3 linked regions of the Anolis sagrei genome follow. The protein of the gene in region 1 purifies or fractionates together with the protein of each later gene. This does not show direct contact. Links are inferred from orthologs where the notes say so. Each region holds a gene or a part of one and is shown in the gene's direction. Other genes may lie near its edges.

Region 1 (3,747 bases):
GTCTGGTTGTGATCCCCAGGTTGTGCCAGTCAGCTTTCGTATGATATTATTTCTAGCACCCACTTTTTGCTTGATATTCAGGCAGTGCTTCTTGTAGGTAAGAGCACGGTCCAGAGTGACTCCCAGGTCTTTGGGTGTGCTGCAATGCTCCAGTGGGATTCCTTACTAGGTGATCTTCAGAGCTCGGGATGCTTCTCTGTTCTTGAGATGAAAGGCACATGTCTGTGTTTTAGATGGGTTAGGGATCAGCTGGTTTTCCCTGTAATAGGCAGTAAGGGCACCTAGAGCTTCGGAGAGCTTCTGTTCAACCATCTCAAAGCTCCCTGCTTGAGCAGTAATGGCACGATCATCAGCATAGATGAATCTCTCTGTCCCTTCTGGCAGTGGCTGGTCATTTGTGTAGATGTTGAACATGGATGGAGCAAGCACGCTCCCCTGAGGCAGGCCGTTCTTCTGTTTCCGCCATTTGCTTCTCTGGCCCTGGAGCTCAACAAAAAAGCTCCTGTTTTGTAGCAGGTTTCCTATGAGGCGGGTGAGGTGGTTGTCCTTTGTGATACTATACATTTTTCTCAGGAGGAGGTGGTGGTTCACAGTCTCATAGGCTGCTGACAGGTCTACGAAGACAGCTCCTGTGATCTGCTGCCTTTCAAAGCCATCTTCTATGTGCTGAGTCAGGTTCAGCACTTGCGATGTGCAGCTTTTGCCTTTTCTGAAGCCAGCTTGCTCGGGGGTCAGACATGGGTCTAGATTTTCCACAATTCTATGCAAAAGAAGTCTCTCCAGAACTTTGTAGAGGTGGCACAACAGGGAGATTGGTCTGTAGCTTTTTGGGTCACTACGGTCTTTGCCTGGCTTCAAGATGGCAATGACTCTTGCTTTTCTCCAGATTTTGGGGATCTGACAGGATGCAGTGCAGTTGTTGAAGGGAAGGTTGAGAGGAGACATGATGAGGGCCATGTATAAATATGTGAGAGGAAGCCACAGGGAGGAGGAGGGAGCAAGCTTGTTTTCTGCTTCCTTGGAGACTAGGATGCAGTGGAACAATGGCTTCAAGCTACAAGAGAGGAGATTCCATCTGAACATGAGAAAGAACTTGAGAAAGAGCCGTTCAGCAGTGGAACTCTCTGTCCTGGAGTGTGGTGGGGGCTCCTTCTTTGGAAGCTTTTAAGCAGAGGCTGGATGGCCATCTGTCAGGAGTGATTTGAATGCAATATTCCTGCTTCTTGGCAGAATGGGGTTGGACTGGATGATGACCCATGAGGTCTCTTCCAACTCTTTGATTCTATGATTCTATGTTGACAGGCCTAGGAAGCCAGGCTGACCCAAGAAGAAGAAGAAGAAGAGCAGGAGGAGGAGGAGGAGGAGACGCTCGTCACGTGACGCCCCCTCACGCCTTGTTTTCCCCAAGCGAGGGGCGGAGCTGCGCGCGCAACGCGTGCGTGGTGACGTAAGCTGCGCGACGAAAGAGAGGAGAGAGAGAGAGAGAGGGCGGCTTCGTCCCTTCGTTCTTCCCCTTTCCCCCTCCCTTTTTTTATTTTATTAACCCCCCCCCGCTATTAACTTTACCTGCCCCCCCTCTCTTCGGTAACGTGGGCGCGGCCTAAAGGAAGGAGAAGAAGGAGGCGCCTGTGCTTCCGCCCTTCCGCTGGTTGCCATGGCGATGGCGGGCTCCGGGCCTAGCGCGCCGCCTCAGCCTCATCCTCCTCCTCCTCCTGCTCTTCTCAACGCCGCTTCTGCCTCTTCTTCCTCCTCCTCCTCTTCCTCCATGCAGCCCGCGGGCGAGACGAAGGTGATCTACCACCTGGACGAAGAGGAGACGCCTTACCTGGTGAAGATCCCGGTCCCGGCCGAGCGCCTCACTCTAGGCCACGTCAAGGCCGCCCTGGCCAGGCCTGGCGCCAAGTACTTCTTCAAGAGCATGGACCAGGACTTCGGGTGAGGACTCCCGAAGGGGGAGAAGACAGACATCCCTCCCCATGTGCCCCCAAGGAAGGGCCTTGGGCGTTTGGGGAGGGCCCTCTTCTGAGGCCCTGCCCTGCCCTTCAACTCCATTCTTTACAGGGAGATCCTACCCAAGCCCTCCCAACAGATGGCCTTCCACTCTCCAATTATTATTGTTATTAGAAGTATAGAATCCTAGAAGGGGGCCCCAAAGGCCACCCAGTCTGACCCCATTCTCATCTACTTGAATATCTTACCCAAGCCCTCCAGCCTCTGATTATTACTGTTATTATTTATTTATTTATTTATTTCATTCACTTATACCCCGCCCTTCTCACCCCGAGGGGGACTCAGGGCGGCTTACAGGGAGGGCACAATTAGATGTCCAATCACACAACAAGTAATCCAAAAAATATAACAATTCAGCAGTTAGATTAAAACATCAATACATAGTAAAATCATAAAACCTAAACCAATCTCATGTCAGAGTCCATATATCAGTCCATACATCTGTTCTATTCCGTTTGTCCTTGTCTATCACCAGGTCCTTGAGTTAGTTGTCAGAGTGACCAAAAGCTTGGTCCCACATCCAGGTCTTTAGTTTTTTCCTAAATGCTAGGAGGGAAGTCGCCGATCTAATCTCCCCGGGGAGTGAGTTCCACAGGCGGGGGGCCGCCACCGAGAAGGCCCTGCTCCTAGTCCCCGCCAGCCTCACTTGTGAGACTGGCGGGGTCGAGAGCAGGGCCTCCCCAGAAGATCTTAAACTTCGAGGTGGGATGTAGAGGGAGATCCGTTCGGACAAGTACACTGGGCCGGAACCGTATAGGGTTTTATAGGTTATTAGAAGCATAGAATCCTAGAAGGGGGCCCCAAAGGCCACCCAGTCCAACCCCATTGCGTGTTATTGTCTATATATTATTTATTATTTATTTATTTACTTTGCTTATATACCGCTGTATCTCAAGCCCGAAGGCGACTCACAGCGGTTCACAAACAGTAAAAACAGTAGAAACAGCAGTGGTTCCATACAACATATAACAATTGACTTAACACATTATCCATAAATTACCAATAAACAATTACAATGCACAATTATTACAAAAAAAACAACCGTACCCAATCTTCTCATCACCCAAGCGTAGTCCAGGTTCGTCGTCCATTGTTCCATTCCTATGTTCCATTACCAGATTGCACTAAATTACTCAAACGCCTGCACAAACAGCCAGGTCTTCACCTTTTTGCGGAATACCATTAGAGATGGTGCTAGTCTAATGTCCGTAGGAAAGGCAGTGGTTCTCAACCTTCCTAATGCCGTGACCCCTTAATCCAGTCCCTCATGTTGTAGTGACCCCCAACCATTATATTGTTTTCGTTGCTACTTCATAACAGTCATTTTACTACTGTTACAAATCATAATGTAAATATCAGATATGCGGGATGCATTTTCAGTCACTGGACCAAACTGGGCACAAATACCCAATGCACCCACATGTAAATGCTAGTGGGGTTGGGGGAGGATTGATTTTGTCATTTGGGAGTTGTAGTTGCTGGGATTTATAGTTCACTTATAATCAAAGAGCATTCTGAACTCGATGGATTTGAAACAAACTTGGCTCCCATGACCAATGGAAAACACTGGAAGGGTTTGATGGGCATTGACCTTGAGTTTGGGAGTTGTAGTTCACCTATATCCAGAGAGCACTGTGGACTCATGCAATGGACCAAACTTGGCACGAATACTCAATATGCCCAAATGTGAACACTGGTGGAGTCTGGGGAAAATAGATCTTGACATTTGGGAGTTGT
Region 2 (3,747 bases), on another chromosome or scaffold:
TAATAATAAACTTTATTTATATATCACTCTATCTCTTCTAAGGGACTCAGGGCGGTTTCCAAATAGCAAAACACCAACATACAGAGTACGCAAAACATAAGCGTAGAATTCTCAAAACAACACAAATACATTAAAAACCAATCCCAAAAACACAATAGGGGTTTGCACTAGCCTTCGACTGTCAGTGCTGTTCCCCTTTCCCCTTTGTAATTAGAGCTGTTTTATTTCTCTGTCTGAAAACAAGTTGCTAGAAAACCGAGGCTGAAATGTCTATGATGTGACTCAGACCCGACACCTGTATAAGATTTCTTTTCCCCTTTAGCTCTATGAAGCTTTCATTTACAAAGGCAGTTGTTGTACTTGCCTCCTGACAGTACTGTTTGGTTTCATTGCCTTGCCTTTAAATTCATTCTTGAAGGAGTGTTTTCAGTTGTACTTCAGCCATACCTCCCCTCCTTATTATTTAAACTACCACACAGAGCAGAGCCGAATTCGGGCATTGTTTAATTTTGGGTTTCAGACTGCCTGTTAGTTCTTCTGATGCTTTTGGCTCCTAATAAAGCAGAGCTCTGTTCCATTCTGGCAACCCAAGCTACTAATATTGCTAAACTTTCTCACTGGAGTTTTGCCAGCGCTGGGCAGCGTTTATGTACGGTGTTTAAGTCAGATCTGTACAGCTCTTCATGCACACCCTGTTCCAGATTTTACTTGCCTTCTCAACCTCTTAAAAACTGGGAAAGAGAGACTGTTGCTTGCTACTGGCTGCTTCTTGAATTGTGCGTGTAAGAGTTTTTTCTCTCTGTTTTTTTTCCTCCCCAAAAAGATCTTACTGTAGCCAAAGTGGGTTATTATAGTCCGTTTATGGTGGCAATATGATATCTGTGTCTTTCACTTCAGGAACGTATTGCTGCTTAAATTGCTTCAGGCATAAAGAGAGAAATATGCGGTTTCTAGCGTTCTCTGATAAGTATTTGCAGTAGTCTGAAGTTTGCAGCCAACTTTAAACAAACAAAATTTCAGTTTCTCTCTCTCTGCCTTTGCCCAGCCATTTTTTCCCTTGGTGATTCCCGATCTGCATGAACATATTAAGTGGATTTATTTTTCACGGAGGGAGGGAGAGGTCTTGTGTGGCTTCCCCCACTTGTCTTTCTTTTTCTTTTGGCTTAGAACAGAAATGTTCCGTGAATATGATGCAGTTTAGATTTATAGCGGAGTCGAGTGTGTTTGCTGCCTTAGTCAGCTGTGAGAGATCTCCCGCTGGGGCCGCTCCTTTTCTGATGGAAAAGGAACAGCTGTGAAGGTGCTGTTTCAGGCTATTGCTGGTATTAAAGTGAAAAAAATAGTTGCTTGCATTGGAGAGGGGGAAATGGGTCATGTGATGCCAGCCATCCTACCCTATGTCACAGTTTGGAGGAGCACCGATTGCTCTTATCCAATCATGCCTGGAATGCTGCTGGCCACTTGGGCTATTTCTGCTGCCTGTCTCTATCGGTGCAGTAGTGCTAACAGTTTGGCAGATGGGACACTTTTTCTTGGAGTTTATGTCTTTAGTTCTTAATTTCTGGCAGTGCCTGGACTCGTCGCTGTCTCCCCCTCCCCTCTCCTTTCTCCTGAAACCATGGCCCATCGGCTGCGGTTTCATTTTGGCTCCGGACGAAGCAACACCGCTCCTGAGTCGGGGATCCTTGACCGTGAGAGAGAAGAGGATGACTTTTTCATGGCATGCCACACTTTGCCCAGAAGGAATGGGCCTCATACTTTCTCAAGGCGAAGGGCTGAGTGTGGAGATAACCACAGGGATTTGCGGGAAGCCGGTTCCTTGAAGAGGAGCACCTCTATGTTTATTCCTCAGCTTCTCAACAGCATAGATGCCCGGCCCACCAGGAGCTCTTCTGTGCAGATTTCACTCCAGCGCAAGGCTGTCAATGGGCATGCTGATGAATGCGAGGGCACGGAATCCCCCCCAGAAGACATGGGGGATTTTTCAGATTTAGGGGAGCATTGCACATCTCTTGATGGAAGCCATTCTTCTTCTAACAGTCAGCAGGTCACCCCAGACAACTCTCCACCCAGGCAAGCGGAGAACCCAGAGTATGAGATTAACGGAGAGCCATCTAATCACAGGATATTTTGTACCATCCCTTCCAATAACTGGACTGACAATGGTGCAGCCACTGGCCAGGACCACGAAGCAAGCAAAACCGGATTAGGCTTAAACATTGGCAGGGTAAGGATTCAGCATCGGGCTTCGAGCGTAGACGTGCCTCATGTTACGCTAATGCCCTTTGACTCAGAGGCGCCAAACAATGCTTCGGCCTCAGAACCCAGGCGCTGGTCTTTGCAACATTTGCCAGAAGGCTCTACCAATTCAGGAAAGAAATTCTTTGTTTTCCAATTGCAGCAGCCCCCGGCAAATAGCACAGGGACAGACTACAATTTTGGTTTCACGGGAACGAAAGGGGATCGGTTGGTTAGGTATCCACGAATACGTCTGGAGAGGAGTACCTCATATCCAGTTCACCCACAGCCAGAACGCATTAGCCCCATGGAGGGTGAAAGTGTGAATTCAACACTTCACGGAAATAGCAGGAATGGCACTGAAAAATCCAGAGGCAATCCAGTGGAGCGGGTTTCTCCAGGGCAAGGATGCATGTTTAAAATCCATCCAGATCAAAACTCAAGGCAGCAGCATTTCAGAATTCTTGTAACTCGTGGGATTAATGAGAAAGGTCAAAGTTCTGGATCAGAGAATTCAACTGGTTCTGCTCCTGTTGCAACCAATTCATCAGTAAGTAAATGTTAACGAAGTGGTAATTTAAGTTTTCACTTAGATTGTTTTGAGTCAGGGGATAAGGGGAATGGAAACTCAGATGCTTCGTGCAGGTCACATAGTTGTGAAATATCATATAGCAATGTTAGAAAGACCTACAATCTTCCAGAACAATCTGAAAGCATCTATGTTTTGTTAGGCTAAAGTAGCTTTCAGTTATGACTACTTCCAGTGCAATGTTTTCAGGTCTTCTGGTGACTCATGAGTTACTTAATTCATTGCTACGTTGTCAAATACAGTTCGGTAGTTATGTGTGTGTATATAATACTCTGCCCATTTTGCCTTATTTCTATGCTTTTAAAAAAAGTCCTATAATCTTTAAAATCTCAAGTGATATATACATTTATGCCAAACATACTATGTATACCTCGTTAAAAGTTAAGGATCAAAAGCTGTTTTTCAAAAATATTAGCGCAGTTTTAGTGTCTTTTTGTTTAATTGCTTATAAATGTGAAAAAGTAGTCATGGAATCCCAAACGTTTTGATTTGTTAATTTCAGTTTTGGTTATACTACTATTTTCGTCATTAGCCTTAACAAATTAGGTATATTTCATATTCTACAAACAATAGGCATAGTTTTTTTTCACAGAAGGATATATAATAAACGAATGCCAAAGTTGTATTTTTTAAAATTGTGCTTTGTTGTTGCTTGAATGCCACTAGTCTCTTACATGTTCCAGCTCCATATGAAAACAAACAAAAGAGATGTTTTTGGCCCGTATCGCTTCCGCCTGTGTAATCATGGCATATATTGCAGTTCGATGCTGGAAGGCAGCATCTAACTGTGGGAAGGCATTGTGATGGTTGCTGCGTAATACAAAAAGACTTTTATTCTACCCAGTTTAACTTATCGATATATACCTATTATATCACTGAGAAGATTATAGATGCCTAGCACCAATTGCATTCCAGATAAG
Region 3 (3,747 bases), on another chromosome or scaffold:
TGATTAAATGTCCTTTGACCAGTATCTGGCCACTTGGAGTGCCTCTGGTGATGCTGCAAGAAGGTCCTCCCTTGTGCATGTGGCAGGGCTCAGGTTGCATTGCAGCAGGTGCTCAGTGGTTTGCCCTTCTCCACACTCGCATGTCGAGGACTCCACTTTGTAACCCCATTTCTGAAGGTTGGCTCTGCATCTCGTGGTGCCAGAGTGCAGTCTGTTCAGCGCCTTCCAAGTCGCCCAGTCCTCTGTGTGCCCAGGGGGGAGTCTCTCATCTGGTATCAGCCATTGGTTGAGGTTCTGGGTTTGAGCCTGCCATTTTTGGACTCTTGCTTGCTAGTGAATGCAGGAGAAAGAAGTGGGCGGGGAGAAGTCAGGAATGGGCGTGACCAAAGGAGGAGGAGGATTGGCTTTCCATAGACAAGTGGACACAGTAGGGAGAAGAAGTGGGTGCGGCCAAGTCCAGAATGGGCGGAGCAAAGGGAGGAGCTTTGGCTTTCCATAAACCAGTGGAAGAAGGAGGATGAAAAAGTGGGCGGGGTAAAATCCAGAATGGGCGGAGCCAAAGGAGGAGGCTTGGCTTTCCCTAGATCAGTGAACGCAGGAAGGAGAAGAAGTGGGCGTGGCCAAGTCCAGAATGGGCGGAGCCAAAGGAAGAGTAGGCTTGGCTTTCCATAGACCAGAGAGTACAGTATCGAGAAGTGGGAGGGGCCAAGTCAAGAATGGGCGGGGCCAAAGCAGGAGCAGGCTTGGCTTTCCATTGACTAGTGTGAATGCAGGAGGGAAAAGTGGGCGGGGAAATTTCAGCAATAGGCGGAGCGAAGGGAGGAGCTTTGTTTTCCCTCGACCAGTAGACGCAAGAGGGCGAAGAAGTGGGCGAGGCTAAGTCCCAGAATGGGCGGAGCCAAGGGAGGAGCCTCGGCTTCCCTCAGAGAAACTGCATCAGTCGTTCAGTGGCAGCCGAGGAGGAAGGATCGAGTAGAGTCCTTCCTCGGAGGCTGGCAAGAAGCCGGGATGAAGGCTTCCCCGGAGGCGGACGGGCGCCGGAGCGAGGCTTCGGAGACAGCCGAGCGCCTCCGGACCCGCGAGCGCCTCGAGGCCACGCTGGCCGGGCTGGCTGAGCTGTCTTTCCTCCGGCGGCGGCAGGAGTTGCGCGTCCAGCGGTGGATGCCCGCTGCCTTACCCGCTCAGGAGGCGCCTTCGCCGGCTGTGAATGCAGAAGGAGCCGCTGTCGCCGCTGCAGCTCCTGCCTCCTCTCCACGGAGTTTGGAGGAGCAGTTTTTGGAGGAGAACATCCTTCTCTTAAGGAGGCAGCTGGTGAGTCCGAGGAGGGACCGCGGATACGGGGACCCGCGGATACGGAAACCCCTTTGGTGCCAGGTCCCACGACTATGGGTAATCATGGGAATTGGTACCCGCTGGGTCTCGGTATCCGCGGGACTCGGTATCCGCGGGTTTCCGTATCCGCGGGCCAACTTGGGCCCTCCAGGGGTTTTGGACTTCAACTCCCACCATTCCTAACAGCCTACCGGCTGTTAGGAATGGTGGGAGTTGAAGTCCAAAACCCCTGGAGGGCCCAAGTTGGCCCATACCTTGTTATCCGCGGGTTTCGGTATCCACGGTTTCCATAGACTTACATGGAGCATAGGGGGCATTTAGGGGACAATGGGTGTACTTGTCCCTCTCCCCTGCAGGAATCCCAGCCAAGTGGGTGGGGAGCTGCATTGCTTCTGCTTTCCAAGGCTTTTTCTGCAGCATTGGCAGCCAAGATTTCAAGCTGCGGGGAAACAAGAGATGAAAAATCAAGGTCAGGGGCTGTTTTGTCTCTTGGATTGCTTTTGGGTGATTTTGGGAGGATGGAATCATAAAATCCTAGAATTTGAAGAGACCTCGTGGGCCATCCAGTCCAACCCCCTGCCAAAAAACCCACGAAAATTGCATTCAAAGCACTCCCGACAGATGGCCATCCAGCCTCTGTTTAAAAGCCTCCAAAGAAGGAACCTCCACCACACTACGGGGCAGAGAGTTCCACTGATAAACAGTCTTGAAGATAATTTTTTCCTGGGGGAGGCTTCCCCTAGGCAGGAAGCAGCCAGGCTTTGAAGCTGCAAGGCCATTCAAAGCTAATCAAGCTGGCCAATTGCAACATTCAGGCTTCCTAACTGGGGGAACCCTTTGTTCAGAAACTCTTACCTTCTTGCTGTTCCTCCAAAGCTGTTCAGCAGTGGAACTCTCTGCCCCAGACTAGGCTTCCCCTAGACAGGAAGCAGCCAGGCTTTGAAGCTGCAAGGCCATTCAATGCTAATCAAGCTGGCCAATTGCAACATTCAGGCTTCCTAACTGGGGGAATCCTTTGTTCGGAAACTCTTACCTTCTTGCTGTTCCTCCAAAGCTGTTCAGCAGTGGAACTCTCTGCCCCAGACTATGGTAGAGGCTCCTTCTTTGGAGGCTTTTAAAGAGAGGCTGGATGGCCATCTGTTTGGGGTTCGTTGAATGTGATTTTCCTGCTTTTTGGCAGAATGGGGTTGGATTGGATGGCCCATGAGGTGGTTGTTCCTTCAGTTCCTACAAAGTTGTTCAGCAGTGGAACTCTCTGCCCTGGAGGTGCCTTCTTTGGAGGCTTTTATACAGTCTGGATGGCCATCTGTTTGGGGTTCGTTGAATGTGATTTTCCTGCTTTTTCCCCCTGCTTTTTTCCTGGATTGGATGGCCCATGAGGTGGTTGTTCCTTCAGCTCCTCCGAAGCTGTTCAGCAGTGGAACTCTCTGCCCCAGAGTATGGTAGAGGCTCCTTCTTTGGAGGCTTTTAAAGAGAGGCTGGATGGCCATCTGTTTGGGGTTCGTTGAATGTGATGTTCCTGCTTCTTGCAGAATGGGGTTGGATTGGATGGCCCATGAGGTTGTTGTTCCTTCAGTTCCTCCAAAGCTGTTCAACAGTGGAACTCTCTGCCCTGGAGTGTGGTGGAGGCTCCTTTTATGGAGGCTTTTAAACAGAGGCTGGATGCCCATCTGTTGGGGGTGTGTTGAATGCGATTTTCCTGCTTCTTGGCAAAATTGGGTTGGATTGGGTGTTGTTCCTTCAGTTCCTTCAAAGCTGTTCAGCAGTGGAACTCTCTGCCCCAGAGTGTGGTGGAGGATCCTTCTTTGGAGGCTTTTATGTAGAGTCTGGATGGCCATCTGTCAGGGGTTCATTGAATGTGATTTTCTTGCTTCTTGGCAGAATGGGGTTGGATTGGATGGCCCATGAGGGTGTTGTTCCTTCAGTTCCTCCAAAGCTGTTCAGCAATGGAACTCTCTGCCCTGGAGTGTGAGGAGGCTCCTTCTTTGGAGGCTTTCAAAGACAGGCTGGATGGCCATCTGTTTGGGGTTCATTTAATGTGATTTTCTTGGCAGAAGGGTTGGATTGGATGGTCCATGAGGTTGTTGTTCCTTCAGTTCCTCCAAAGCTGTTCAGCAGTGGAACTCTCTGCCCCAGAGTGTGGTAGAAGCTCCTTTTTTGGAGGTTTTGAAACAAAGGCTGGATGGCCATCTGTTGGGAGTGCTTTGAATGCGATTTTCCTGCTTCTTGGCAGAATGGGGTTGGCTTGGATGAGGTCTCTTCCAACTCTATGATTCTATGAATCTCTTGGAATGGCCATCTGTCGGGTGTGCTTGGATTGTGCCTTCCTGTACAGCAGGAGGTTGGACTACATGACCTTTGAGGGTCTCTTCCAACTCTATGATTCTATGAATCTCTTGGAATGGCTATCTGTCG

What was found.
Region 2: the proteins of DVL2 (region 1) and NEDD4L purify together in Homo sapiens (affinity purification with mass spectrometry; 4 studies listed by BioGRID and IntAct, with this or other methods). This does not show direct contact. The link is inferred for Anolis sagrei from reciprocal best matches to the Homo sapiens genes DVL2 and NEDD4L.
Region 3: the proteins of DVL2 (region 1) and DACT1 purify together in Homo sapiens (affinity purification with western blotting; 3 studies listed by BioGRID and IntAct, with this or other methods). This does not show direct contact. The link is inferred for Anolis sagrei from reciprocal best matches to the Homo sapiens genes DVL2 and DACT1.

The regions. Positions count from the first base shown.
Region 1 is NC_090026.1:4,389,133-4,392,879, reverse strand, and holds the start of DVL2 (segment polarity protein dishevelled homolog DVL-2), read left to right. Parts: upstream 1-1,479; 5' UTR 1,480-1,654; coding exon 1,655-1,935; intron 1,936-3,747.
Region 2 is NC_090022.1:282,592,383-282,596,129, reverse strand, and holds the start of NEDD4L (E3 ubiquitin-protein ligase NEDD4-like), read left to right. Parts: upstream 1-1,430; 5' UTR 1,431-1,618; coding exon 1,619-2,788; intron 2,789-3,747. UniProt on the Homo sapiens protein: E3 ubiquitin-protein ligase that mediates the polyubiquitination of lysine and cysteine residues on target proteins and is thereby implicated in the regulation of various signaling pathways including autophagy, innate immunity or DNA repair.
Region 3 is NC_090021.1:334,345,194-334,348,940, reverse strand, and holds the start of DACT1 (dapper homolog 1), read left to right. Parts: upstream 1-945; 5' UTR 946-1,008; coding exon 1,009-1,311; intron 1,312-3,747.